Linked DNA regions of Cricetulus griseus. The main gene of each other region encodes a partner of the protein of the gene in region 6 in a complex. Links are inferred from orthologs where the notes say so. Each region holds a gene or a part of one and is shown on either strand. Other genes may lie near its edges.

Evidence for each region.
Region 1: the proteins of Med7 (region 6) and Med21 are in contact, whole or in part, in a cryo-EM structure (PDB 7EMF), measured with the Homo sapiens proteins. The link is inferred for Cricetulus griseus from reciprocal best matches to the Homo sapiens genes MED7 and MED21. Residues at the interface, in NP_001094286.1 of Homo sapiens: Phe72, Asp73, His74, Lys75, Leu78, Arg79, Asn82, Ile85, Leu86, Phe89, Leu92, Leu93, Leu96, Phe116, Val119, His120, Ile123, Asn124, Tyr126, Arg127, His129, Gln130, Arg132, Glu133, Leu135, Arg136, Met139, Glu140, Gln142, Lys143; in NP_004255.2 of Homo sapiens: Asp3, Leu5, Thr6, Leu8, Gln9, Val12, Asn13, Leu15, Ala16, Phe19, Ile23, Ile62, Ala66, Ile69, Asp70, Ile73, Asp74, Leu76, Pro77, Ser78, Glu79, Ser81, Ala83, Gln86, Ser89, Leu90, Leu93, Glu96, Asn97, His98.
Region 2: Med7 (region 6) and mediator of RNA polymerase II transcription subunit 20 share a complex: the UniProt entries of both Homo sapiens proteins name them as parts of the mediator complex. The link is inferred for Cricetulus griseus from reciprocal best matches to the Homo sapiens genes MED7 and MED20.
Region 3: Med7 (region 6) and Med16 share a complex: the UniProt entries of both Homo sapiens proteins name them as parts of the mediator complex. The link is inferred for Cricetulus griseus from reciprocal best matches to the Homo sapiens genes MED7 and MED16.
Region 4: Med7 (region 6) and Med12 share a complex: the UniProt entries of both Homo sapiens proteins name them as parts of the mediator complex. The link is inferred for Cricetulus griseus from reciprocal best matches to the Homo sapiens genes MED7 and MED12.
Region 5: Med7 (region 6) and Med26 share a complex: the UniProt entries of both Homo sapiens proteins name them as parts of the mediator complex. The link is inferred for Cricetulus griseus from reciprocal best matches to the Homo sapiens genes MED7 and MED26.
Region 7: Med7 (region 6) and Med4 share a complex: the UniProt entries of both Homo sapiens proteins name them as parts of the mediator complex. The link is inferred for Cricetulus griseus from reciprocal best matches to the Homo sapiens genes MED7 and MED4.

Annotation. Positions count from the first base shown.
Region 1 is NC_048601.1:3,057,122-3,061,136, forward strand, and holds the start of Med21 (mediator of RNA polymerase II transcription subunit 21), read right to left. Parts: upstream 2,801-4,015; 5' UTR 2,707-2,800; coding exon 2,665-2,706; intron 1-2,664. UniProt on the Homo sapiens protein: Component of the Mediator complex, a coactivator involved in the regulated transcription of nearly all RNA polymerase II-dependent genes.
Region 2 is NW_023276806.1:255,578,091-255,582,094, reverse strand, and holds the start of mediator of RNA polymerase II transcription subunit 20, read left to right. Parts: upstream 1-1,204; 5' UTR 1,205-1,339; coding exon 1,340-1,353; intron 1,354-3,328; coding exon 3,329-3,483; intron 3,484-4,004. Other genes in the region: bystin, read right to left, coding at 570-834. UniProt on the Homo sapiens protein: Component of the Mediator complex, a coactivator involved in the regulated transcription of nearly all RNA polymerase II-dependent genes.
Region 3 is NC_048598.1:100,704,718-100,708,993, forward strand, and holds the start of Med16 (mediator of RNA polymerase II transcription subunit 16), read right to left. Parts: upstream 2,801-4,276; 5' UTR 2,728-2,800; coding exon 2,650-2,727; intron 2,418-2,649; exon of another isoform or gene 2,272-2,417; intron 1,935-2,271; coding exon 1,769-1,934; intron 1,467-1,768; coding exon 1,359-1,466; intron 1,192-1,358; coding exon 1,022-1,191; intron 1-1,021. UniProt on the Homo sapiens protein: Component of the Mediator complex, a coactivator involved in the regulated transcription of nearly all RNA polymerase II-dependent genes.
Region 4 is NC_048604.1:68,973,016-68,976,515, forward strand, and holds part of Med12 (mediator of RNA polymerase II transcription subunit 12), read right to left. Parts: coding exon 3,450-3,500; intron 2,944-3,449; coding exon 2,797-2,943; intron 2,475-2,796; coding exon 2,375-2,474; intron 2,262-2,374; coding exon 2,125-2,261; intron 1,902-2,124; coding exon 1,770-1,901; intron 983-1,769; coding exon 856-982; intron 1-855. UniProt on the Homo sapiens protein: Component of the Mediator complex, a coactivator involved in the regulated transcription of nearly all RNA polymerase II-dependent genes.
Region 5 is NW_023276806.1:247,288,613-247,292,654, forward strand, and holds the start of Med26 (mediator of RNA polymerase II transcription subunit 26), read right to left. Parts: upstream 2,801-4,042; 5' UTR 2,756-2,800; coding exon 2,684-2,755; intron 1-2,683. UniProt on the Homo sapiens protein: Component of the Mediator complex, a coactivator involved in the regulated transcription of nearly all RNA polymerase II-dependent genes.
Region 6 is NC_048600.1:60,988,498-60,992,661, reverse strand, and holds the start of Med7 (mediator of RNA polymerase II transcription subunit 7), read right to left. Parts: upstream 2,801-4,164; 5' UTR 2,665-2,800; intron 2,635-2,664; exon of another isoform or gene 2,358-2,634; intron 152-2,357; exon of another isoform or gene 1-151. UniProt on the Homo sapiens protein: Component of the Mediator complex, a coactivator involved in the regulated transcription of nearly all RNA polymerase II-dependent genes.
Region 7 is NW_023276807.1:228,022,090-228,024,791, reverse strand, and holds the end of Med4 (mediator of RNA polymerase II transcription subunit 4), read right to left. Parts: intron 2,686-2,702; coding exon 2,599-2,685; intron 2,132-2,598; coding exon 2,000-2,131; intron 1,194-1,999; coding exon 1,021-1,193; 3' UTR 501-1,020; downstream 1-500. UniProt on the Homo sapiens protein: Component of the Mediator complex, a coactivator involved in the regulated transcription of nearly all RNA polymerase II-dependent genes.

The DNA.
Region 1 (4,015 bases), on a different chromosome or scaffold from region 6:
CCTCTCTTCGAATGTTTATGGGTATCCATCCTAGCAGATGCAGAAATTGCAATACAGAAAGAGTCATGCTTAAGAGTACTGGCTGCTTTTGCAGAGAATCTGGGTTCAACTCCCAGAATCCACAGCTCCCAACTATAACTCTAATCCCAAGGGATTTGAATCCACAGCTCACAACTGTAACTCTAATCCCAAGGGATTTGATAGCCTCTTCTGGTCTCCATGGGTCCCAGGCGCCCATGAGGTACACAGGAATACTTAAAATAAAAAAAAAAAAAAAAAAAAAAAAAAAAAAAAAAAGACTCTTTCAAATCATAACTCTATAAACAAATCCTAAGATACCAAAGTAGTCGAACTGGTAGATAACACATTCTATTCTAATTGCAAGAATGATTGTCTGTTCTTTCCTGAGGTTCAAAATTGGGGTGTACAAAGCACATGATCTCTTGTCTGTGCAGAGCAGCTACCAAATATAAACAAATAGTGGGCGTATTGGGGATAAGCTCAGCTGGGAGACTGCTAGCCTAGCATGGTGAAGCCTCGAAGTGGACCCTCAGCACTGAAACAGAAACCTAGGAGTAACATCGCAAACATGTAATTCTGGTAATCAGGAGGCAAGAACCCAAGTTCAAGGTCACCCTCAACTACACAGGAAGTTCCAGGCCAGTCTGTACTACATGAAGAAATTTCTTACTGTAAGTTATCAGAACTGTAATTCTACAAGACTCCAATTGTAATCTTACTGCTCAGAATGTATTTGTTGTTGGGGCACGGCAGTGCACAACTTCCATCCTAGCACTTGGGAGGCAGAGGCCAGCCATAGTTACATAAGAGACTCTCTCAAAAAAGGCAGAACTAAAAAAAAAACCAATGTAGTCAAGTAATTTGAAAACACAAGTTCACACCATCTGCAAACTAAACACATGTATAACCCATCACCCAACTTCTCACTAATCCCTGGAACCTCAACTATTATTTCCAATCTTCCAATCAGGAAACAGCATTTCTATTGTTTCTATTATTTTGCTGTCATTATTTCAATGACAAAAATCTGAGCTGTCATTAAAAGCTAACCTGGGTGACTTTATTTTAAGTTGCAGCATTCCATTTTGCAACACTGTCTTAAGACAAAGAAAAACCCAAATGAAACTTATTCAGAACAGTAGTTATGTATTCTGTCCTGCAAATGCTTTCAAGACCCATTGTTCATCTGTTCAAAAACATATTTATTGAAAAATGAACCCCATGGCAAGTACTATATATAAATATTATAGAGATGAACATGTTTCCAGATGGTAGAACAAATGTTAACACTGCTCTATGTTCCAATCTACTTTAGCACTGAAGAACTGAAAGCAGTTTACTCTAACTCCCTAGCCATGAACGGGGTTTCACATCTGAAAGTCTCTTGAGTTCATGGCATCTTTCTAAGCTCCCCCAGGGGTAGCTCTTTGTAAACACATTGCCTATTGACACAGTAGGCATCCAAGTTAGCTAAATTAACAGTATTCCTAACATGAGTCAAGACCATATAGCATCCTTACCACCCTAGCTACAGGACCTACACGAAGACGAAATTCTGAGATAAGCTCCTACACTGCATTAAGAGATTTTTAAAACCTCAAAGGAGTACTTTCTTGGGAGAGAATGGCTGGCAGCCCAGGGAAATCTTTACATTTTAGCTTGGTGAGTTCACCAACATTTAGGGATAGCCCCTCAATTTAAAAACTACTTTATTTACAGAGTAGGCAGTTTTCCCACAAGTAGATTCACAATCTCTAAAAGTGATGTATTACCAAGAAGCCAAGTTATGACCTTTCTGTAAGAAAAACACAGGCCAGGGACTGGGTTTTGTTTTTTTCCAGTAGGCAGACACTCTACAGGCACTTTACCTAGAACAAACTACAACCAGGATGACACGGACATTTTTAACTACCAGTGGAAAAGTGTTGTGCTCTTAATGGTAATAAGCAGAAACATTTTTTATTTTATTTTTTGGAGTCAGGGTCTCTCTCTACACTGCTCTGGCTGTCCTGGAACTAACTTTGGGGCTGGCCTCAAACTCAGATTTGCCTGCTTCTGCCTCCAGAGGGCTGGGATTAATGGGATTAAAAATGTGGCTCAGAGGCAGGGCGTTAGTGGGGCACGCCTTTAATCCCAATACACCGGAGGCAGAGGCAGGAGGATCTCTGTGAGTTCGAGGCCAGCCTGGTCTCCAGAGCGAGTACCAGGACAACCTCCAAAGCTACACAGAGAAACCCTGTCCCAAAAAAACAAACAAACAAAAACCAAAAAGAGTAACAGCCAGAAGGGACAAGGTTATGGAAGGCAGCAGTTTTCAGGAGCTTCTGTTGTTTAGATTTTATGACTCCCCAGTTGTTTTTTGTTAGTTTTAACTGACAACCTGGTCTCCACAGTGATTTCCAGGTCAGCCAGGGGGGTACGCGGGAGACTCTCTCAACACAAAACAAAAATCGCCCTTGTGAACATCCGCTCGACGCGGCCCTCCTGCCCTCCTGCCCTCCTCTCCCCGGCCCTCCTGCCCTCCTCTCCCCGGCCCTCCTCTCCTCTCCTCTCCTCTCCTCCCCGGGAAGGACGGGAAGGAGGGGAAGGACGGGAAGAACGGGAAGAACGGGAAGGACAGGCCGACTAAGGCGGGAGCCTCACCGAGTTCACCGCGTCCTGCAGCTGCGTGAGGCGATCCGCCATGTTCCCGCGTACGCAGCGACGCCGAAGCTCCCCGCTCAGCGGCGATTGGGTAATTTATGGCGGCTCTGGGCCAATCACAGGGCTCCCTTCCAGGGGGCGTGGCCAAGGACGCACGCTGCGGCGGAGGGCGGGGCTATCCCGCGGCTCACCGGGGCCGGGGAGGCGGGCGGAGCGGGCGGATCCGGGGAGGCGGGTCTGGGAGGCGGGTCTGGAGGGCGGAGCCGGGGGTGGAGCCAGGCCCGCGGCGCCGAGATGCTCCAGGGACGGTCGCCGCCTGCCGTCCTGGCTGTAGCCGTGTTTGAGGCGGTCCTGGCGGGCCCGCGGTGTGTTTTGCTTGCGTGTGGCTCCGGGGTTCTGTTTTGGGCGTCATCTGGAACACTTGTTTTCCTTCACTTGTGCTTTCCAGGTGGACCACACGGCGAACCCTTCACAAATGGTTAAACCCAGCAGATTATCATTCGCCAGGAAATCAAGAGTTAGTTAGGTGTCTTGTTGGATTGGGCCAAGAGGTGCTTGCCCAACTGTAGGCTAGATTCGTGCTTTAATTCTTGAGTGGGGAAACTGACACAGCAGAAATGGGAAGCGTGGGAAACTAAGCGTTAAACTGTGCCGTGGTGAGGAATGACAGGCAAAGGTTTTCACCTTTGGAGGTGAAAGGCATTTGGAGATGGGCATTTGGAGATAAGAGGTGTGTAGTCAGCACAGTTAACTACACAGTCCTCTGTAGCTGTGAGGAAGAGAAGGCTTCAGAGGAAAGGGAAGGGCCCTGGGGCCAGAAGAGAGGTTCCAGGAAAATAAGCAAGTTAGGCAGGTTCAGAATTTAGATTTAGAATTGAGATCTTTGATAGTTTTACATGCGAAGAGTGATACTGTGTGATGCGCACTGGGAAGATGTATGGCTGTGATTGGTGTAATAAAAAACTAAGTAAAGATAAGTAAAGGTAACAAGTTACATAAAAGCAAGCAAATTAAAAAACATGGGTTGCCCTGCATGGTGGCACACACCTTTAATCTCAGCACTCAGGAGGGAGAGGCAGGAGATCTCTGAGTTCCAGGCCCTCCTGGTCTACAGAGCGAGTTCCGGGACAGCTTCCAAAGTTACACAGAGAAACCCTGGGGGGAGGGCAGGTCCATTTAAATTATAAGAACTAATTTGGGGCTGGAGAGATAGCTCAGTGGTTAAGAGCACTGACTGCTCTTCCAGAGGACCGGGGTTCAATTCCCAACAACCACATGGCAGCTCACAACTGTCTGTAACTCCATTCCAGGGAACCTGACATTCATGGCAAAAACACCAATATAAAATAAA
Region 2 (4,004 bases), on a different chromosome or scaffold from region 6:
TTACTATGTAGTCCACGAGGGCCTTCTTCTGCCTCAGCTTCTCACCTGCTGGGATTACAGGCGAGCACCGCTGCTCATTGCTGGAATATGTTACTCTATTTAATATTCTCTGCCTTGGGGTAGACTTCCGGTGCTAAAAGCAAGGACGAGTACATTGTTTATTTCGGTATCAGAACTGCCTAAACTCTTTTTTATTGGGGGGGGGGGTTTCAAGACAGTGTTTCTCTGTGGATCGAACTCACAGAGATCAGCCTGCCTCTGCCTCCCGAGTGCTGGGACTAAATGTGTGTGCCACCACCGCCCGGCTTAGAACTGCCTGAACTCTTAACACAGTTCAAAGCATTGCACAGGAAACACAGTCATACTTCACAAGCCCAGAGAATAAATACTGGAACTTGGTGTGAGTGATTACTTCCTGTTGGAACTCTGAGGTAGGTTCCAGAAGGTACGCGTTGAAGTGAAGGACCACGCGGGAAGGAAAAACTGCCTCCTCTTTGTAATTCCAAACCCGTATCCGGATGGACTGAGCTAGTCCGGCCCATGCCACCACTCCAGCCCGTGTCACTCACCCAGCCGCGTGGCGCGTTCCCGTGGCTTTGCAGGCTGGTCTGCAGTCCCGTGTTCAGTCTCGAGCTCCTCCTGCTGTTGCCTGGCTTGCTGCAAAATGCGTCTGCTCAGCCGGGGTCCAACATACTCTTCCTCCTCTTCAACCCCGCGTCCCCGCCGCTTGTCTCGGGTCCCCGCGCGCACTGCATTCCCAGCCAGAATCTGCTCGGCCAGAGGTGCATGCTTCTCCTGATTCCGGGCCCCGCGGGCCACCTTCAATTTGGGCATTTTTCTCGAAAAACTTGCCGATGCTACTCACACGTGGGAAGCCGGTTTAAAACTAGGACTGTGTCTGCGCCCTGTGTTCCGGTGCTCGGGAGGTCACCGAGAGTTCACAGCGCCCCCCAGCGTTCGGAGGCCGGAAGTGCCTCATATACCGCCATCTCTCCAGGAGCTCCGGGGCGGGAGCTGGACTCCCCAGATTCTCAGGTAATCTCATTGTACGGAAGTGGGTGGATGTCCCAAGTCACCTTTTCCAGACAGAATTCATGAATGTAGCCTGAGAGGTCCTGTCAAAGCAAAGCGCGCCCTGGGGGCGGAGCCGGGCTGATGACGGAATTCGTTCATCGCTGGAGCGCCCGGGCACGCCTCCCTTCTGTGGGTGTACCGCTCTGGCGCTCAGATTTTGCGTATTTCCGGAGCCTGCATCCTGCTTTAGGCGGCTCTACCTCCAGGGGCCTCTGGATCCCTTGACTTCGAGTGTTTGGCAGTGCCACCCCTTTGACCCTGCGCCATGGGAGTGACTTGGTAGGACTGCAGGGGCTCTTGTGGGACGGAGCTTGGGGTCGTGAAGGCCCCAGGAGGGGGATCGGGACGGAAGCTCTCGGTTCCTCGCGGGCTGACAAAGATGTCCTCGGGTCGTGTTGCAGCAAGGGACGCCGTGTGGTGCTTCTTCCTTCCCAGGCGCATCCTTTTGGCAAAGCCAACTCTTCATTCCAGGAACCTGTCAGGAGTCGTACCTTCTTTTTCTTGGTACTTCTTCATGTCCGTCAGGCCATAGTATTGTCGCCAATAGGACCTAAAAGTTGGGAATAGGCTTTCGCACTAAGAATTATTTGCAGGCAGCGATAAAAAAGAGGGGGGCGCTCTAGGAGAAAGTGACTTTTACATTTTGCTTGCAGTAATAATAGCCTGGCTTTAATTTGGTCTAATGTCAGAGGGAGAGGAAAAGGAGCTGTTGGAGGTTTGGAGGTCGGGGTTCCAGGCACATTAACTATCCAAGAATCACTTCCTACATGTTTGAGTCAGGTTTGGGTTTTTTTTTGTTTTTTATCTGAAACGTGTTTTAAATCTCACTTGGAAAAAGAGAGGTGATTGGTAATGTCTGGACACCGTGCTTTTCTTCAGGGCATTAATTCCAAAGTACTAGGCTTCAGCACGTTAAAAAAAATCTTGGTAGTGGTGTGTGTCTTCCCAGCTGTTCTGTATAATGTGTGTGTGGGATGTTCTTCAGGAAACCCAGGCTCTTGCAGGGTTTTTAGTGACTACTATACGTGCAAATTAGTTGACACCAGGAGCCTTATCTCAACCTCATCACACCGTAAAAAGTACCTGTCAGCAGTGAAAATAGAAATCACAGCAGAGTCACTGGGCCCTATAAAACATTTCTGTATATGTTTTTATGGGCTGTCGATCACCTGCCTCTGACTCCTGCATCCTGGGATCACAGGAGTGCTCCACCAATGCCTGCCTGCCTAGGGTTCATTATACAGAGAAAAGGTTTCCCTTCCTACTAGTATCGGTTCAACTCTCTCAAAATCACAGAGTTTCTGTCACAGTGTCAGTTTAGTGACTCTTCTGTTTTATGTATTGCTCACTGGTCCTTGAAACGACTATTGTCTCTTTTTCTAGGCGTATACACTCGAGGGATGCGTTCTCTTTGTTCTTAGTGCCTTTAAATGGAACTCTGTGATAGTGGGAAAGTTCTGTCCACAATGTCCAGAATATTATCCACCAGCCTCCTGGGGCTCTATACCTGACAAAAGCAGCTTATGATAGGGTTTATTTTGGCTCACTAGTTGAGTTTAAATAGAATGAGGTGGCTGGTCACATTATGTCCATAGTCAAGAGGTAGGTAGGGGTGTGTGGGGGTGTGTGTGTTTGGGTGTGTGTGCGCGTGCGCGAGAGCACGTGTGGTGTCCTACTCAGCTGATTTATCCACACCTTAGTTAAATAAGAATCTCACAGACAGGGTCAGGAGTTTGTTTAAGAAATAGGTCTCAGCCAAGTATACCCCTATAATTCCAGCACCTGGGAGGCCGAGACAGAAGGATTGCTAAAAGAGTGAGATCAGCTCAGGCTAATTCAGTGAACTCCAGATCATCTTCGGCGGCATTGTAAGACCCTATCTCCAAGCTTCTAGGTCCTGTCATGTTGGCACGTAAACCATCAATCACATCCACTGTACAACTCAGTGACACTGAATGTGTGCAGTGTGTGCTACCTAGAATCAACACTTAATGTTGGTATTTGTACCTTACTTGGGAATGCTGATGTGGTAGAAAGTTCCATGTCCCTGTGTGAGACACTTGAGACCTGTGTTCTGCCTGTTAAAGGAACTCTTGGACTGTGGGCCTCTTCCTTTCTCAGTTTAAGGGGCAGGATCAGAGTTAGTGTTATCTAAAGTAACTCCTAGTCCTGTTGATCTGGTAACTATTTGGGAATGAGTGGCTCAGCCAGAGCATGTTTGTCTCTGGACACTGCTGACTGTTCTGTTTCTCAGTGTGTCCCAGATGCCTGTGGCTGAGGGCAAGAGTGTCCAGCAGACGGTGGAGCTCCTCACCAGGAAATTGGAGATGCTTGGGGCAGAGAAACAAGGAACATTTTGTGTGGACTGTGAGACTTACCACACAGCTGCCTCCACCCTGGGCAGCCAAGGTCAGTAGATGACTGCGAGCAGATGTTTGGACCCGGCTTGGAGTCCTACAATTATTCATAGTCATTGGCATCTATTTGTGGTGGTCAGATTGCAGTTTGAGCTACTTGTTTAATTAAAATTTTTTAATTGTGTGTGTGTGTGTGTGTGTGTGTGTGTGTGTGTGTGTGTGTGTGTGTGGATATGCGCACTAGTGCTCCTGTGTGTGGATATGTGCACCTGAGTTCAGGTGCCTTTAGAGGCCCGTGGTGTCAGATCCCCTGGAGTTAGCCTTACAGGTGGGTATGGGTACTGGGAACTGAACTTGGGTTCAAGGCCAGCCTGGGCTAGAGAGTGAGAACCTTTCTTGGGAAACAAAAATTGTCTAGCACAACCAGAAGTGCTTTCTTTATTAAAGAATAGTGTTGGGGCTGAGGTGATAGCTCATCAGTTGAGAGCACTGACTGTTCTTCTAGAGGACCAGGTTTGATTCTCAGTACCTACATGGCAGCTCACAACCTTTTAAACTCCAGTCTTAGGGGAA
Region 3 (4,276 bases), on a different chromosome or scaffold from region 6:
CAGGAGAAGCAAGAAAAGTAGGACATACAGAATGAAAGAAATGTAAAAAGCCCTGAGGCAAAACACAGATGAAGAGAAACAGGTTAAAATAAGTTATAAGAGCTAGTGGGAGGGCTGGAGAGATGGCTCAGAGGTTAAGAGCACCAACTACTCTTCCAGAGGTCCTGAGTTCAATTCCCAGCAACCACATGGTGGCTCACAACCATCCCTTATGAGATCTGGTGCCCTCTTCCGGTGTGCAGATATACATGAAAGCAGAATGTTGTATGCATAATAAATAAATAAAAATCTTAAAAAAAAAAAAAAAGCTAGTGGGAGCCAGATGGTGGTGGTGGTGTGGTGCAGAGGCAGGCAGATCTCTGTGAGTTGGAGACCAGCCTGGTCTACAGAGCGAGTTCCAGGATAGGCTCCAAAGCCACAGAGAAACCCTGTCCAGAAAACAAACAAACAAAAAAAGCTAGTGGGACAAGCCTAAGCTAAGGCAGAGCATTCATAACTAATTGGTCTCCATGTCATGATGTGGGAGCTGGTGAGTGGCCACATGTAGGCGTGGTCTCAGCAGGTGTGTGGAAGCTGCTGGTCCCCAAGGACCTGGCCATGCCCCCTTCCTCAAAGGCATCTACCTCCGAGGAAACAGACATCTCAGATGTCTGTTGGTGCTCACTCCTCACTGGTTGAACTCCAGAATACACATGGATAGGGGAATTGTGGTCGTCATTAAATCACAGTAGAGTGGGGTCTGAAGACCACATAGCAGTCATCTGTAAAACAGGACACCATTGGATGCAGCTGCCTGTGGAACAGGGTCACTCTATAGGGACCATCATCCCATCACTGAAAGGGGAGGCTCAGGGGGACAATAGCTGTAGTTAAGCATGTTCTTGGGGACAGGAGCTCACGGATGGCAGTTACTGACAGGTATCCCACGCAAACAGGCCTGGCACATGACAGAGAATTCTGGCAGCGGCAAGGGAGAGACAGGTTGGTCACTCACAACTCCGCCACACGTAAGTCCCCTCACCTTCTCCACGTGCAGGGCCAGTTTCACGCCGTTGTGCAGCCAGGACAGCGCCACGATGGAGTCCCCCTCCACCTGGCTTCCCACTGAGCTCTCCCAGCTGTTGGCCAAGTGGTCAGCCATGCTCCAACATTTGATATGCCCGTCAGCATCGGCTGACAGGAGCCGTGAGCCTGTGGTGACAGAGTGCCATCAGGAACCCTCCTGAGGGGCAGGTTGACTGCCACCCCCTGCCCCCACACTCTGGACTCCCAGTGACTCTGGATTTAGGACTGAGAACTGAAGAAGGCAGCCCATGCTGCTCAGGGCTCTGGAATGAGAGTGAACTTCGTGGCATCACCTGACTGGTCCCATTCCAGGCAGGTGATGGCCTCGCTGTGGCCAGAGTTGACAGAGTGCACTTCCCAGGGATGTTCGGTGTCTAGGATATGGATCATATGTGTCAGGTCTGCGATGGAAGGAGAACAGGTGAGGTCGGTGTGGCTCACAGTGTCCCAGGATTCCCACGCCCATTTCCCCTCTCCCTGAGTGCCCCTCCATGCCACTTATCCCCCGGGGAGGGTTATCCAGTGCAGCCATAACCAACATTAGAGTCGGAGGACAGTGACTGGTATATGACTGCTTTCCCTGGCAACAGGGAGCCTGGCTCTGCCACCATGAGCCTTTCAAACCGGGACACACTGTGTCTGGAAATCTGAGGTAGGGTGGATCCAAACCCGGCACAGTCCACCTCTATGGACCGACACTCACCCTGGTCATCATTTCGGAGGTCCGTGGTGAAGGCGATGAGGTTCCTGCAGGACCAGGCGCAGGCCAGGGGCAGCGACGGGCAGTACGTGTTCTTGGCCCAGTTCTCCCACTCGCACACGTAGACCAGTTCCATTATGCCCACAGCACCCAGCACAGTCCCTGGCTCCTGCGGAACAGCGAGGTCCTGGCTAAAGTGGCTCTAGAGAGTTCTCCAGCCCTTGGAGCCTAAAGCACCCTCCATACCACCTAATCACCCACCCAGACCTCAGCCTAAGCTCAGCCTCCAAGCACTAAGCACCCTCCACAAACAGGCCGCACCCACTCCAAGTTCAGTCCCACGCCCCGCCCCCAAAGCTTCGCCCAAGACCTAAATCCTGAGACTTAACACACATACCCATGTGCCTCAACCAGGCCCCACCACGGGCTTTAAGCTCCACACACACCTTCTAAGGCCCTAGGCTCCGCCCCCAAGCCAACTACCAGCTTCAGGCCCCTCTTCTTACGGGTTATCAGGCCAAGGACCCCTTCTCCATCAGTCCCAGATCCTCAGGCCACGCCCCACTCTTTCAGACTCTGCTCCCTAGGCCACGCCCCTCTCTAGCAGCTTCATTTCCTCAGGCTCCGCCTCTCAGCTCAACTTTTGCCTCAGGCCACGCCCCCTCAGACAGTCCCATCCTCAGGCCACGCCCCCTCCCCGGCCTAGTCGCCTCAGGCTTCTCCTCAAGCACCGGTCCTGACCACGCCCCTTCCACCCAGTCCGCTACCCAGGAAGCTTTGCTCCCCGGCCCGCCCTCTGACCCCGCAAGTTCCGCCCCTCGGCCTTCCGCTCGTGGTCCTCGCCCGGATTGTGCCGGTCACGCGTTCCGCATCCTGGCACTGACCTGTCCGCTCCGAGCGCCCAGTCGGCCGGGCTGCCGCGATCCACATTCGCCCCAACGCCCGGGATCCGGGGCCGCCATCTCTCCGCTCGTGCCGGCCCCTCGCACAGACTTCTGGGAGAACCCAGGCTCCACCCTCTACTCGGCTAATTTGCATACAATAATTCCTAGTAACCATTGCAGCTGTATGTACGAAAAAAGACAAGTAATCTGTCATTTCTGATCACTAGCTATATCTTACATTATAGGTTTGGTCTTCTGTAAAAGACAGGAGAGAAGTACTAAAACTTTCGTAAGGAAACTGTACTCACCCTAACGATAAAGGGCTTGAATTTAGAGCCTATAAATACTGCCTGGACAAAGCAGCTGTTTGTGCTCGCTTCGGCAGCACATATACTAAAATTGGAACGATACAGAGAAGATTAGCATGGCCCCTGCGCAAGGATGACACGCAAATTCGTGAAGCGTTCCATATTTTGCCCACCCTCAGAAACACCAAAGCATACTCCTACATCTCTCTTCTGAAATTAGTTTATGTATAGCTTATCTTCCGCATATTCACTGATGGCGAAATTAGTCCCCACGTAAGTGACTTAACTAAATTTTCCCCTTTGCTTTTTGAGACACGGGCTATGTAGTTCAGGTTGGCCTCACACTGTTGAGGTTAAGATTCTTCTTTCAGCCTCCAGAACAGCTGTGCACCATCAAGTCATGAGTTCAGCTGTTATTTATTGTTATTTAAATTTGGGATTTTTGTTTTTACTTTTGTGTGACAGGATCTGACACTGTGAGTTTGAGGCTAGCCTGGGCTACATGAGACGCAGAGGTCTGTTGTTGGACCTTTAGTGCCAGCACTCGGGAGGGTGAAGCAGGCAGATCTCTTGAGTTTGAGGCCAGCCTGGTCTATAGAGAAGGTTCCAGAACTGCCAGAGCTACACAGAGAAACCCTGTCCCAAAAGACATGTAGCCCAAGTTAGACTCAAACTCAGGGTATATGGTGCTGGGAATGGAATTGAGCATGCTACGAAATCAGTCACTCTACCCACTGAGCCACAGCCTGGCATCCCACCTTTAAGTATTTTACACATTTTAAAATGAACTAAAGAATCAAGACTGCACTTTGCCCTGTGTGTCCAGATTTCCGGCCCCCAGCCCTCGGTGACCTGTTACTTCCCCACCAAACCCCAAGACACAAACAGTCAAGGCCTGAGCACCAAGGCTTTATTAAAAGTGTCCCTTTCCCCCAAGCACAAAGAACCACACAAAAGGGGAGGAGGCGGGCCCATGGAGCCTCTGCAGTGACCACAGCTATGCTGGGTGGCAGAGGGGACAGGGAGGAGGACAACACACAAGGTCAGAGGCTTCTGGCTGGAAGTCCTGGACCCAGGTATAAGTGTTAACAGGAGGAGGATCTGAAGGGCAGGCAGAGCCCAGGGAGTCGGGGACACGAAACACACATCACAAAAAAGCATAAAATCAGCCCTTGAGATGAAGCTTGTCCAGGTTCACCAGGCCCATGGCATGTACACACACACACACACACACACACACACACACACACACAAGACAAAGTGCCCTGGGGAGATCAGCTGAGTCCTAGAGAGGACCAGACACCTCCATCAGAGCTGAA
Region 4 (3,500 bases), on a different chromosome or scaffold from region 6:
CATGGCAGCTCACAATTGTCTATAAACTCCAGTTCCAGGGCATCCGAAGCCCTCCACCAGCCTCTGCAAGTACCAGACATGCACATGGGGCACAAACATAAATGTAGGAAAAATTCACATACACAAATATTTTAAAAAGGATGGTTGGCTGCACCGCTTAATGCTGTCCACCACCACCGTGGAATGAACAAAGTATCTTTGCTCCTGTGTATATACTGGAAATGCTTTGCTCAAATGTTCTTGTGTTTATTCTTTGCTTTTCTCTATTCTATTAAAATTGTGAGACCATCAAGAACTACGCCTAAAAGTAATTCTGCACAGAACCCAAGACAGAAATGTAGACCAGAAGGGCCTTCTTTCCTTTCTTTTTTTTTCTTTCTTTCTTTCTCTTTCTCACTTTCTTCTTTCTTTCCCTCGTTCTTTTTCTTTCTTTCCCCTCCTCTTTCAGCTCTTTCTTTCTTTTCTTTTTTTTCTTCCTGATTTTTTTTTTTTGAGACAAGGTTTCTTTGTGTAGCCTTGGCTGTTCTGGAACTAGTTCTGTACAGAAGGCTGGCCTCAAACTCAAGATCCGCTTGCCTGTGTCACCTGAGGGGTTGAAGGTGTGCACCACTGTCCAGCTTTTGTTTTGGTCTATTTTTCAGACAGGTTTTCTCTGTGTAGCCCTGACTGTCCTGAAACTTGCTCTGTAGATCAGGCTGGCCTTGAACTCAGAAATCCACCTGCCTCTGCCTCTTCTGAGATTCAAGGTGGTGTCACCACCACCCAGAGGCCAGAAGGTCCTTCTTTATGTTTTCTGATGACATGATTTATAATTGAATGTAGGCAAAGGAACTGGAAGATTATAGGTGTCCATACTCAGCATGGGAGCCTGTGTATCCAGAAACTGCAGGAGGACATCCTGGAAAATGGGTGCACTAGGAGCAGAAAGCGAACCAGAGGCGACTGAGCCCTTCTCATCAGCTGCTTCGGATTCTCCACAACGCTGCAAGACGAGAGAACAAACTGAGCGGTGACTTCTCCCTGTTTCTTCACTCTTCAATATGTAACCTTCGAAGTGTCACCTGTCTTCCATCCCACACTTTTCATTTCCTTTGCCACTTCTCAACTACAGCCTTGGTCTCTTCTCTAGCCAATTAATCCATCAGCTCTTTTCCATTTGTGCCTATGTCCTTAACAATCCCTATAAGTTCTCTACCACTTTTCTTTTCTTTCTTTGTTTGGTTTTGTATATTTTGTTTATTTGATTTTGTGAGGCAAGGTCTCCCTAGGCAGCTCTGGCTGGTCTGGAAGTCACTATGTAGACCAGGTTAGTCTCAAACTCATAGAGATCAGCCTGCCTTTGCCTCCTAAGTGAGTGCTTGGATTAAAGTCATGCACCACAATGCCCAGCATTTTTGTAAAACTTTTTTTTTGAGACAGAATCTTTCTATGTGGCCCTAGCTGTTCTAGAATGCGAAAGGTAGACCAGGCTGGCCTTGCACTCAGAGATCTGAGGTACTGGGATTAAAGGTATATACTACCACGCTTGGCTTTTTTTTTTTTAACTTTTGAGACAGTCTCTCTAGCTAGTCCTGGTTGCTTTGTAACCATGATCTTCCTGTATATGCCTTTCAAGTGCTGGAATTTCAGGTATGTGCCAAGACAAGAGCTCTCTATGGTTTCTTTCCAATCCCTCGGGTCCAGTCCCATTCCCACTACTACCTCAATATGTCCAAACCCAGTTAGAGTCTTTCCATTGGGCAACTCACTCCCTTTTCTTAGCCTCTAACCTCAGCCTCAATCTCGGCTTGTCTCTTCTCCAGAAGCTTGGCTACTACCATAGCACGATGCCGACCAGAACGCTTGCAGCTAACAGCCCATTCACATAATAATGATACCACAGCATCATCATCTGAGGAAATCTGTAACCAAAGGATTTGACAAGGATAAGTAAGGGAAGGCTAGGAACAAAAGAAACGAGTTCCTTTTTCAAGTATAGGCCCCACCTAAAAATATCATAGCCCCAGGAACCAGGAAAATCATCACTTCAGGAATCTGCTGCTTTCAATGAGTTACTAACCTTACCCTTATACAGACCGCTTCTCCTGTAATGTTTTTGCTCTTTCTGTTTTTCTTCTTACTCACCTCATGACCATCCTTACTAGGCCCCAATCCAAAGATTCGATTACAAAGGGAGTCAAGGGAATTACTAAAGTCAGAGCGCTCAAAACTATGGCTGTCCAGCACTTCTAAAGTATGGAGCACCCGTCCAATGGTGAAACCTGAGGACAAACAGTATTAACTAGAATTAACTAGAGAGTCAATGCATTCAGATTCTCAGATATCTATGAATCCATCACCCATCCTTTCTTAGTTCCCTCCCTCTGACACCTACCCGCAGTAGCTTCCTGGCACTTATCAAAAGACCAGCGAACCTCAACTGCTTGTCCTCGCTCCTTGATCTGCTGTTCAATCTCTCGCAATTTTGCTCGGACCTGCAATATTTTTTAAAAAGCTTTAAGGAAACACCCAAATAAATGAAAAGCTAAAAGAAGAGTAGCCGAAAGCTGGGCGTGGTAGTATATGCCTGCCTGTAATCTAGCAGTTGGGAGGCAGAGGCAGAAGGATCACTATTAAGTTTGAGACCTGCCTGGTCTACACAGCAACTTTCGGGTCAGTGAAGGCTACTTAGCAAGATTCTGTCTCAAAAAACAAACAAAAGCAGAAAACAGTAGCAGACTCCAAGTCACTATTTCTAGAAAAAGAATCTAGCATTACATCTCAACTTCAAAGTACCAGGGTAGTATTTAAGCTTACCTGCTGAGTGAAGGCACTGTTACCCTCTGGCATGGGCAAATTGGAAGGAGCAATGGGCAGGTGGTCAAGTGGTGAACCAGTTTTAATTCGGCTATCAGTCAATGAGTAGTGCCAAACTAGGGCACTAGGACAACACAGGAGGATAGTCTGCCAGACAAATAGATGAATCAAACCCAATTATCATGGCTACCTTTCTAGAATCCCCCACTTAAGGCCCACCTCCTTTAGGTTTTGCATCTGATTTAGGTTTACTATGACTGAGTCCTTGGGGCAAGTATCATTCTTGATCCGCCTCTACCTCACCTTCTTTTATTATCATTTTTATAGTATTTTCAGACAAGGTTTCATCTGGCTATATAGCTTAAGCTGACTTTGAACTCACAGTCCTCCTGCATCTTCTTTCCAAGTTCTAGGACTACACGCATACACTACCATACCCAGATTCTCAGGCACTTTCCTAAGAAGCTTTGGGCCTAATACTTAAGTCTTGGGAGAGGATGTCCGAAACTTCTGAATGGGAGCATCCTATTACAGAGAAACACAATTCTTAAATGGGTTGCTCAGTGCCTGCTCCCACCTCTGAGTTGGACTCACCCCATTCTCCAGGATGAGCAGTCAGTTCTTTACACTTTCTTGGGCCCTCTAGTACCTACCTGAAGGATACAGCTGAGGCCAAAAACCAGGGGCCGGTGCTGAGGGCACAT
Region 5 (4,042 bases), on a different chromosome or scaffold from region 6:
AGAAAGGACAGTGCTTGCTGCTCAGAAGCTAGAACACACAGCAGAGCTGGCCTTCCTCTAGAGACCTCCTTGGTCAAGGAGCTGCTCCCAATTTCAGAGACTGTGGACAGTAGGTCAGCTGCCTGGCACTGACTTTCCAAGCAACAGCTAAATTTGTTAGCTATGATTGCACTCATAAAGGTAAGCATTACATGACACCAATCTCTGTCACTTTCTCTCAAGAGGGTTAATTTTAGTGTAAGCTCTTCAACTGTGTCCCCATTTTGTATTTTTTTCCATGAACATCTTAAATATGTGTCAATTACCAAGTGGTAGAGCTCATAACTGGGCAGAGCAGAGCCCTGTGCCAGCACACAGCTCTTACTTGGGCCCTGAACAATCCAGAAAAAGTACCCTTCAATGCCTCTGGAAGAAATCAAGGACAGTCCTCCAGGCTGAGTTCTACAAAGAGGTCCTGCAAAGCCAGCACATGACAGTGTTCATGAATAGTTACTGATACACTGCATTTAGAGAAAAACTTCCCTCCTCATTAAGAGACAAGTTCTCAACTCTAGCCATCACAATGAGGTCACTTATCCCTATAGCCCTTTGAGATACACACTCCACTCCAAGTAACTTACCCACAGGTGAAGGAGTATATTAACACTTAGGCCCAAGGTAAGATTCAAAAAGCAAAGGTTTGGGGACCAGGCACTGTGGCCCACGCCTTTAATCCCAATACTCGGAAGGCAAAGGACATAGTATGTTCCAGAGGCTCTGTCTTAATACACACACACACACACACACACACACACACACACACACACACACACTCACACACTAAAATTTGAGTCCTCTATCTTCCTTCTTTTACCCCCAAAAGAATCCTTTAGTCAGAGCCTTACCCGCAAGGCTGCCCCACCTGAAGCGAAGCATCATTACTGCCTATCAAAGCACTAGCTGATCCCAGCACTCTCACAGGCAGCAGTCAGGATCCCTGGTGATTTCTCACGAGTCAACATACAGGACTTAAGAATTACACTGTGGATGCTGGCAGTGGTGTCGCACAACTTTAATCCCAGCACTTGGGAGGCAGAGGCAGGTGGATCTCTGTGAGTTTGAGGCCAGCCTGGTCTACAGGTAGAGAAACCGTGTCTCAAAAAAAAAAAAAAAAAAAAAAAAAAAAAAAAAAATCCACTGTGTACATTGTAGCTTCAGAAAACATGCAAAAGCCACTGAGGTTACATTTTTCACATCACTTGTTTGTATCTTTTAATATCTCAATCATGTAATTGCAGTAATATCAGTCACTGTTTTAAAAAACATTTAAAAAAAAAAGACTTTTTAGAAGATTTTATCTAGCCTGTCCTTACTCCACCCACCAAAAATGTCTAAAATATTGGCTAAATCAGTATCAAGGTGATCTTAATAGGGCCTCAAGATCAGGAAGAAGAGATTTACTTTGAATCTGGCAAGCAGATTCTTCCAGAGATCAGGAAACCTCCATTTCTACCAAGACTGCACAACTAATGTGAATTTCTTGGAACACACCAGAATATGGCACATTACTAAGAGTAACAAGCCAAGCACAAGTAAGGGAACCAAAAGAGCTCCCTGCTCAAACCTCAGTTACCTGGCCAAGCCCAAGATGATTTTTCTTTCCATCCTGAGCATATTAAAAAGTGATCTCAAAGGCCACTTCCTGGTCTCCCAGCAAACACTTCATACCTGGATGCTTGTGCATCTTCTCATGGCCCTGCTGCTTCCAGGAACAAAGACCCTCACCCCCTCCCTACACTGCCAACAAACCTTTGGAAAAAACACAACAGGTGAGATTAGCCTATGCTCACACAGGAAGAAAGGGTGTCCCTCTGCTCATAGGACGCTTAGCAGAGGGAAATGTGACATAAAGTGACCCCATACAGTTAACTCTTGACAGCCTAGAGACCAAACACCAGGCCGAGTCCCTCAGGTGGGGCAAGAGAGATGGAAAGAAGACCAGAATAGGGGCGAGAGAACAATCGACTGTGATGAGCAGGAATTCAGTACCAAAACCCCAGGCTTGTCAGACACACAATGGGACATTTAGGCCAAGAAAGGTGACAGGAAGGATCCCACCTTCTGCAGGGTCGTCTTTCCTAGGTAGCGACCCTTGGAGGGATTAAACTGGGGTCTGTCCAGTATCAGAAAAGAAGGGAAACTCTCCAGGGATCCCAAGCAGCAAGACTAGGGACAAGGAGGGCCTAGGGTTCTCTCCGAGCCCAAGAAGACGATTTCAGCCAGAAGACCGAAGGGAGACGCGGGCTACCAGAGTCATCGGGGGACACTAGTTGCTTCCCACCTTGACCCCCGTAGGGAGACCCTTCCGGGGGGTCTCAAGTCCCGGGGTCGAAGAGAGACAGGGAGGCAAGGTGGAAAGCACCAAGGACAATCTGGCCGAGGCAACCGAGGAGAACCAGGTCTGATTTCGGCTCCGAGCGATCCCTCAGTCCAGGCCGCGTGAAGCCTCGGCCTCAGGTACCCTGAGTCGCCGGGCTGCCCGCCTTGCCCGCGGCCCCTGGACCCGGGAGAACGAGAGGCCGAGATGGCAACGGCTGTGGCGGGCAGGGCGCCGCCGGGAGAGGCCCCCAGGCCGGGGGCGCGTCGGAGGGGGAGGGTCCCGGCACATGCGGCCTCGGTCCCCGTTCTCCAAGCAGTCACTTACGTTACTCTGGGAGTCGATGGCCTGCAGCAGCCGGTCCCTCATCTGCTGCGGAGACGCCGGAGCCGCTGTCATTGCCTGGGCGAAGCGGGGGGGAGCGGCCGGGCCGGCGGGCGGGCGGGCTGGGGCGGGGGGACGCGGGTCAGTCGCTCGCCAGCCTCCGGGAACGGAGCCGCATGTTCCCCGCGGCGCCGGAGGAGGTCGGGGCGCTCGGGGAGATGGCGGAAGACGGAGGGAAGCGGAGGGGACCGGAGCTCGGGCCCCGGGCCGCCGCCGCTGCTGCGAGCAGGGGGGGAGGAGGAGCCGACGGAGAAGCCGCCGCCGCCGCCGTCGCCGCCGCCGCCTCGAGAACCAAACTCCAGTGAGCTGCCCCCGCGCTGAGCACTCTGGGTAACCCGCGCCGCACGCAGCGTCGGCGCCACGCTGAGGAGGTTGGGAGATGGGGGCGGGCGGAGACTCTGGCTCTGGGAGGGGCCGGCTCGTGAGCCGCTTCTGTTGCCTCTGCGCATGCGCGCGCACGCGCGTTTATCAGGTCGCGTCGCCACGCCCCATGGCCCGTTCCAGAGAGCCGTTGGGAGGCAGTTGGGCGGGGCAACGGACGCTGTCTAAAGGCCACGCCCACTCCGAAAAACCGGTGGGCGGAGCTTCCTAACGGAAGCGCACCCGCTGGGTCTTGGAGCTTGGACTCTTCCTCCGGGCTGCCTCGGGGGTGCGGAGAAGGAGGACCCTCCCCTCGGATGAAGGGCCGCAGCCGGGGGCTGGGACCCGGCTCAGGAGCGACGCCAAGGAGACCCGCGCCGCGAGGACCTCGGGAGAGTTCTGCGCAGCCGCCGCCGCGGTGGAAACCGGAGGCGCGGGTCTGCGGGGCAGTGCGTGTCCCCGTATGACCCGCGCAGAGGGGACCTAAGGGCACCGCCGCCTCCGACAGGGCCTGCGCGACCCGCTCAGGAGGAAGCGCCGCTCGCGTCGCCGGCCGGAGGGACCGCCGTGCCCGAGGTGGCGGGGCTGCAGCCCGGCATCCGCCCCTTCCTGTTGGCTTTGCATCTCAGGTGCTGGAAAACAGGAACGCCCCACCGAGCAGGAAAGCAAGCGTCAGAACCACCTGGAGTTTTAGGCCACACCAAGAGAAGCGAGATGTTAAGTGTCGGGCTCCCGACCCCCCGTCTTTGGGTGACCCGGAGCTCCGCTGCAGATGACGGGAGGAGGGCGGGCGGGCGGGCGGCGGGCTCCGAGGTTACCTTAAAGATCCAGACTGGAAACGGAAGGGAAACAGGTAATGGGAACCACATGTGCTCCTGAGAGCTGGGCGACCCCTGTTAATTTTGAATTTGTTATACTTCTGAGGGTTAGCCGGGATCGGGG
Region 6 (4,164 bases):
CAACATCAACTTCAATGTTCAGAAGTACACTGTGAATTCAGACCATATTATCTTTAAGCTTCCTGCTGGTAAGTATGCCTTGAAAATTGAGAACTTGTTGGCCAGTCAAGACACAAGGTGTGCTAATTTCACCCTAAAGGAACAGGTGACCCTGGCAAAGGAAAAGAAAAATAAAGCAAAGCTATGGCTTCGTGCAATGAAGATAACTGTGATGAGAGCCATGAAACAATCTCTAGCATCTAAATATACACCCAAGTCGAGGTATGCAGACTCTATGAAGGAAATTCTGAGAACATGAAGCAGTGTCACTTGGAAATCTTACAATTATTTGAATCCCTTAAAGTCCCTGTCACCTGCTAAAGGACACTTTTGTCTGCCAGACTTCATGTGACTATGAAGTAAGGACACCTGTTCTGCTTGGTGAGGAAAGAGGGACGCTAGGGTTAAGGACTCATGTGTTCTATGTAAGCTGACAAATGGAAGCATAGGAAGTGGGAAGCAGCCAGTCAAGTCCACTAAAGGTTTGGCAGATAACTTTACTTACTGTTCTTTTTAAACATTTTTTTTTGTTGTTATTTTGAAAAAGGACCTCAACTGTCATAGATGTGGTGGTTCACACTATAGAAGCCAAGACAGCTATGAGTTCAAGGCCAGTTTGGGCTACACATTGATTTTTGAGTCAGCCTGTGCTAAAAATACCTTTAAAAACTATTTTTAAAGTATATGAAGTTGGGAGTGAGATATGGTGATGGTCTGCATGGTATTAGAGGGGAAGGAGAGGGCATGATCAAAACACATTGTGTATAAAATTCTCAAAGAACAAAATACATATTCTAAAAACTAAGAGAAAAGGGTCCATGTCTGGGATGATTTTGTATGGCACATGATATATTATTTGTCATGTCTGATTTTTGTTTTTGTTTTTTTGTTTTTTGGGTTTTTTTTGGGGGGGTGGATAGGCCTATGTTGGAACCCACACTGGAAAAAAGAACACTTATACACACAAATATCACGTGCCTTTTTACTACTCTTTCCCACAGTGAAACTACCTATGGTGTTTATCAATCTCATATCACAATCACTTTTGCTTTCTATTATGTACTGGTTTCCAAAACCAAACACTTAAAGACTCTAAACATTTTGACAAAAACAACAAAAAAAGCATTGTTAAATTTCAAACTTCTATTATTATCCAGGCTTTGTGAAGGAAGCCCCATCTTGAGAGGGCCGGGCGTTGGTGGCAGACGCCTTTAATCCCAGCACTCGGGAGGCAAAGGCAGGCGGATCTCTGTGAGTTCAAGGCCAGCCTGGTCTCCAGAGCGAGTGCCAGGATAGGCTCCAAAGCTACACAGAGAAACCCTGTCCCGAAAAACCAAAGAGTACGGTCTTATTAACACATTAGCATTTTATATATTTCCAAATAATAAAAAAAACTGCAACACACATGGTCAAAATAACCTCTCCTATTCCAATTTGAATTATATAGTGTATTATCCATTGATAAGTGTACATCCAGTGAGGAGACTCCTGAGTGCTTTTTCACACTTGATCTGAGTTTCAAGACGCACCATCCATCTACCAACATCAACTGGGGCAAGTAACATACCGGTTCAGTACCAGTTCCTTGGAATATGTTAAATCTGAGGGCAGCCACTTCAAAGTCTTCAGCTTTCCAACTGTTTGGGCACCTCACCCACCCACCCACCCACCCTGACACCTTTTCCCCTAAGTACTTCAGTATATACCTAAAACACGAATGTTCTCCTGCAACCACAGCCTAATTTCACCCACTGAGGGCTTTTGAAATTGAGGTTCTGTGCTTCCCTTCCCCACGCCCACACTAAACCCGCAGTTTCCCAAAGGCTTCCAGTAAGTGACTGGCACCGGCTATTTACACCGTCATTTCTTCTTCACAACGACACAACTATTCCCAATTCGATTTTAGAAACAAGAAGCCAATTCCCAACGTGGAGCATTAGATCAAAAGACTGGCAAACGGTACAACGGGACTTCTCACTCTGGGTTTTTTGTTTGTTTCCGCTCCCAAGTACAAATCCCCGAACTCCACTAAGTAGCGAGGCTTCCCGCGGAACAGCCTGCCCCAGGACAGGATCCGCCCATCACCGGTTTAAACAGAACTTTTCAAAGCCGCTGGAGGTCGTAATTTTGTAACACTAGCAAAACTCACACTTAGTAGTGTTTGCTTTTGCAGGGAAAGCGTCGCAAGCTCAGAGACCTGCTTCACTTTGTGCCCTGTAAACTGGGACCCCTTGAAAGTCTGGTAAATGGGGAATCCAGATCCGCTCGTGGGCCCCCGCCCCAGCCCCAGCGCTCCCAGGTGGCTCTTCTCATTTTACCAATGGCGACGGGGGACAGTCTTGGCTAAGGCCACGATAGTTTAAAAGTCGTCGAAGTGGGGACAAGAACTCGGGCCTCCCAACCTCCAGTCCGGCTCGTCTCGCACGTGGGAAGCCCGGAGAGGGAGCACTCGGCTCACCTTCGGCCTCCGGCAAGCTCCGCTGAGCGACGTGGGGGGAAAGGCGAGCCCGGGCTTCCCAGGATGCCCCGCGCCGGCCCGGCGGCGCTCCACGCCCGGAGAGAAGCAGCCACGGGGGCGGAGAAAGAGGATCAGGCTGCGGTTGCCAACCGCAGCCGCGGACTCACCTCAGCGCTTGCTTTTCCGGTAGCGACTTTTCCTCAGCGCAGCAGAAGCACAAGTTCCGGTTGCCTTCTCAGGAAGAAGCCTCTGACGCTGGTCTTTAATTGGCTACCAAGGCTGTCCTAGAACAGGTTTTACTCCCGCCCTGAAGGTATTGCGCGTGCGCACTTCTGCATCTCCCGCTTCTCCTGGGGTTGTCTCAGGCATCTCCTCCTTCCCCTCCCCCCTCCCGCCGCGCCCCTGAGTAACCTAGGTCGAGTCTGGAGAGTACCTCTTCTTCGTTCATTTTGTCAGTAAAAGAAAATACTATCTAATAATTCTATTCCTCGCCACCTCCACTTTTAAATGAGACTCTTGGAATTAAAAACGAATCCACTTGCCTTATTTAAAAATCAGAAAATACGGATAAGCAATATATTAAAATATTCTATCAATGTTAACCTCACCATCAAAAATGTTTTTAATATAAGATTATACTCCGTGATATACATAAGTGTATATAAATATTTGCAAATATATGGTATACTTCTGAACATGATTAAGAATAAAATCCTAAACATCCAGTTTCCCCCTCCACTTTTATTTTCATTTAGGAATTCAAAGACGTCTATTACAATTCTTACACAAATTGACAAGTGAAAAAAATTAGTTTGGTGTAATTTTTTTTTTTAACGGAGGGAGGGAGCAATTTCACTGTGTAGCCCAGCCCTCAGGAGAGTTCAGAAATTCGCTATCAGTCCCAGCAAGAAAACTTTCGGTTTAAGGTTTTGTTTTCAGTATTTGTTTTTTTCCACAAGAATTGTTAACAAATGTCCAAGTTCTTGGGAGTCTTAAGGGTGCACACTGCAATCTAAAAGATAAGAATGTTCTGGTAAAACAGCTCTGCTTCACAAACAAGATCCTCCCAGTTTCTTTCTTTAAATATGTGGGGAATTGCAGGCATAAAAGTGAAGTGCAGTCTACTCACCGCCAACTTCAACAGTTACATGCTCAGCATCATTTCATCTTTAGTCCTGTATGCAGCGCTAAAAGGTAAGGGCTCTTTATTTCTTCATATACCCATAGAATTATAATCTCACTGAAAGTATATTGGGGTCATTAAAGGAACAAAACTGATAGAATGAATATGTATGCATGTATGGTTTACTAGAGTGTCTCCAAGGATCCAGTCCAAATATCCCAACACTGGCTGTCTCATGCATGGAAGGCTGAGAACCCTGTAGTTGCTCAGTACAAGAGGCTGGACATCTCAGAAGCTCTCATCTGGCACTGGAGGCCTGGAGGATTTCTGGAAAGCTGCTGGTCTTCAATCTATGTAAGAATCCCAAAGAAATTCAGTTCCAGTACTGGCAAAGGAATGAGGGAACAAGAAAATGAATGAAGTTGCCGGTGAGAGTGAGGGCAAGCAACAAAATCACAGTTTGCTGTTTTCTTGTCCTTTGTCCTTCTTACCTGGGCAGCTACAAGAACATGCCACCAGTCTTCCTGCTTCTAAAAATCTGATT
Region 7 (2,702 bases), on a different chromosome or scaffold from region 6:
GGGTCTTCTGGAGTCCTCAAGAACTTTGCAGGACAACAAGGCCAAAGGTTGGTTGGTTGCTCTCCCCCAACCCTTCTATTTTAAAACCTTCCATGAAATTGTGTGTCTGTGTGGTATGGGATTGTAATAAATGTTTTCAATTATTAATGTTCTCAGAAACCTAATTGTGATTACTAGTTAAGATATAGTCATTTTATCTTGTATTTTCTGATATATAACAGAATCTTACTTGAATATTATAAAATGCAACTGAATTTTTTTGTTTTTCAAGACTGGTTTCTCTGTGTAGCCTTGGCTGTCCTGGAACTGGCTTTGTAGATCAGGCTGGCCTCCAACTCACATCTGCCTGCCTTTGCCTGAGTGTTAGAGTTAAAAGCATGTGCTACCACTGCCCAGCTTAGATGCAACTGGATTTAAGTAAATTTCCTTCTTATACTGAAGGGGTACCAAAATACATACATACATACATACATACATACATAAATCAGACAACAGGAAAATTAAAAAATAAACAAAAGCAAGTTTATTTATACAAATTACAGTATTTACCACATATAAATAGTGATAGTTCTGTCGCTGCAACAGCAGCCGACTCTCAGGTGAGCACTTTCACTTTGAAATACCACACTCAGAGCCCCGCTGCCTTTGTGCTGGCCCGGACTGCTCTGTAGCCCTGATGGCTCAGAACTTACTATGAAGGTCTCACAGCAATCCCTGTCTCCCTGGTGCTGGGATTATAGGTATGAGCCGCCACGCCTGGCTTGGTGCCCTTTCAAGTCATTCCCGAGAGTTGTGTCATTCTCCTGCAGCCTCACTTCCAGAGCTGCTATGTGCAAACCAAAGTAGTAATGCTGACTAATCCTCACACGTTTGCCTAGCAGATGAGACAAAATGGGGGGGGGGGGCATTGAAAAGAACCCCAAATGGTTTTCAGTGGGCTGCTCCTTAGAGGTCTGGGGTTTACATGTCCCTCTTGTCAGGGCTCTGCAGCACTAGTCTGTGCGTGCTCTCACGCCTTCTTCAGTCAGAGTCGCTGCTGCTGCTTGAAGAGTCTGTTGACATAACCTCCACATCATCTTCATTTTCCTTGTTGTGCCCAGGAGGCTCCAACAGAAAGTCACTGCTGTGATTTGGTGGTAGCATGTTCACAGACATGTCATTTGACTGCCATGGGTACTGTGGAGCAAGGACATCTGGAGGAAAGAAGCATGGGGATCAGTTTACTTGTAATCCATCTACTTGTCAATCACCCTCCCTTTATGCAAGTAACTTAATTCTATCTACCCGCCTACCTTGTAGTACCAGAGGTCTAACAAGATAGGGGCCCATCCATGCTAAACACACACAAACAACAAATTATGTCCATTATACCCCAGCCATGGGTCCTGTGCCATGGTCCTATACATAATAGCTATTCATCCATATCTGTTACTAATTAATCCTTTCAACTTTCCTACTCAAATTACTGGTGTTGTTTGTCTTAAAAGGATTATAACCAACAGTGTAGTATAACTGCAATGAGAAAGACAAGGAATGTCTGGGAATTAATAAGCACAGAGTTCCCAAATCCACACTTTAGTACAGAAGAGATAGCTAAAGCTAAAAATGGGCTTCAGAAAGCATAGCCCCCACTCATGTCCTTTCTCTTTAGAAAGATCCTTTTACATTACAACATGGCACCTACAAAAATGCTTAGTCTATCTGGGGAGCACGCCTCATGATGGAAAATGTTCTTCGTTGTCATCAAGGAAAGCTCCTGTGCTGGGGGGAGGGTGGCAGGAGATGCACATGGGGACAGCTTAGGCTCATGTCATGCAATGCCACTGCAGGGTCTTTGGCTAAAGCAAGCACAGAATAACAAACTGGCAGGGACCCTGGACAAACAAGTAGATGAATAAGGCTGGGCCTGGGATCTCAAGAGTTCGATGTTAGACAACGCCTCGCTGGCACCTCTGAAAACCCTTGGTCTGCTTGAAAACACCCTTCCTGTCAGCATTACCTGGCAGTCTACCTGCTGCAAGGGCATCCCCTGGGAGATGGCCATTCACACCACTCGTGGAAGGGTTGTTCATCTGACCCAGCAATCCACTTCTCATCTCTAAATCAGTTGGGTACGGCCTCCGAGGGTCTCCTAAAACAACAATGAAGGCAGCTTTTTAACTCAAGTTTAAAAAAACAAAAGATAAGTTCTTTGAAGTATTAACTTTCCTTGGTGCACACTGAAAGCCTCAAGCTCTTTGTGAGACAGGGTTTTCACTATGTAGCCTATGCTGGCCTCAAACTTGCAATCCAGCCTCGGCCTCTCCAGGTGTTGCCTTTACAGTACCACACCTAGCCTGGCTGCATTGAAAATTCTCAAGCTGGGCATGGTCCATTAATCCCAGCTCTCAGGAGGCAGAGGTAGGCGAATTATAGCAATCTCAATTCTTCCAACTTAATTCTATTTCCTAGTAAGAAACATCAACAATGATACATCCTCTTGAGAGATGCCACAGAGGGCATTACTAGGACACTGAAAAAAAATGCCTAGAGATGTTGTTTTAGAGAAGTACATTCTACATTTAAATAGTTTTAATCTGACATAAGAAGCAATGTTACCTGGAACCCAAGTCAGTGGTGCACACACAGCATTGCTTGCACTAATCCTATGTGCATATTTAATGATTTCTTCTGAGGAGATAGCACCTGAGTTGAGAAAATAG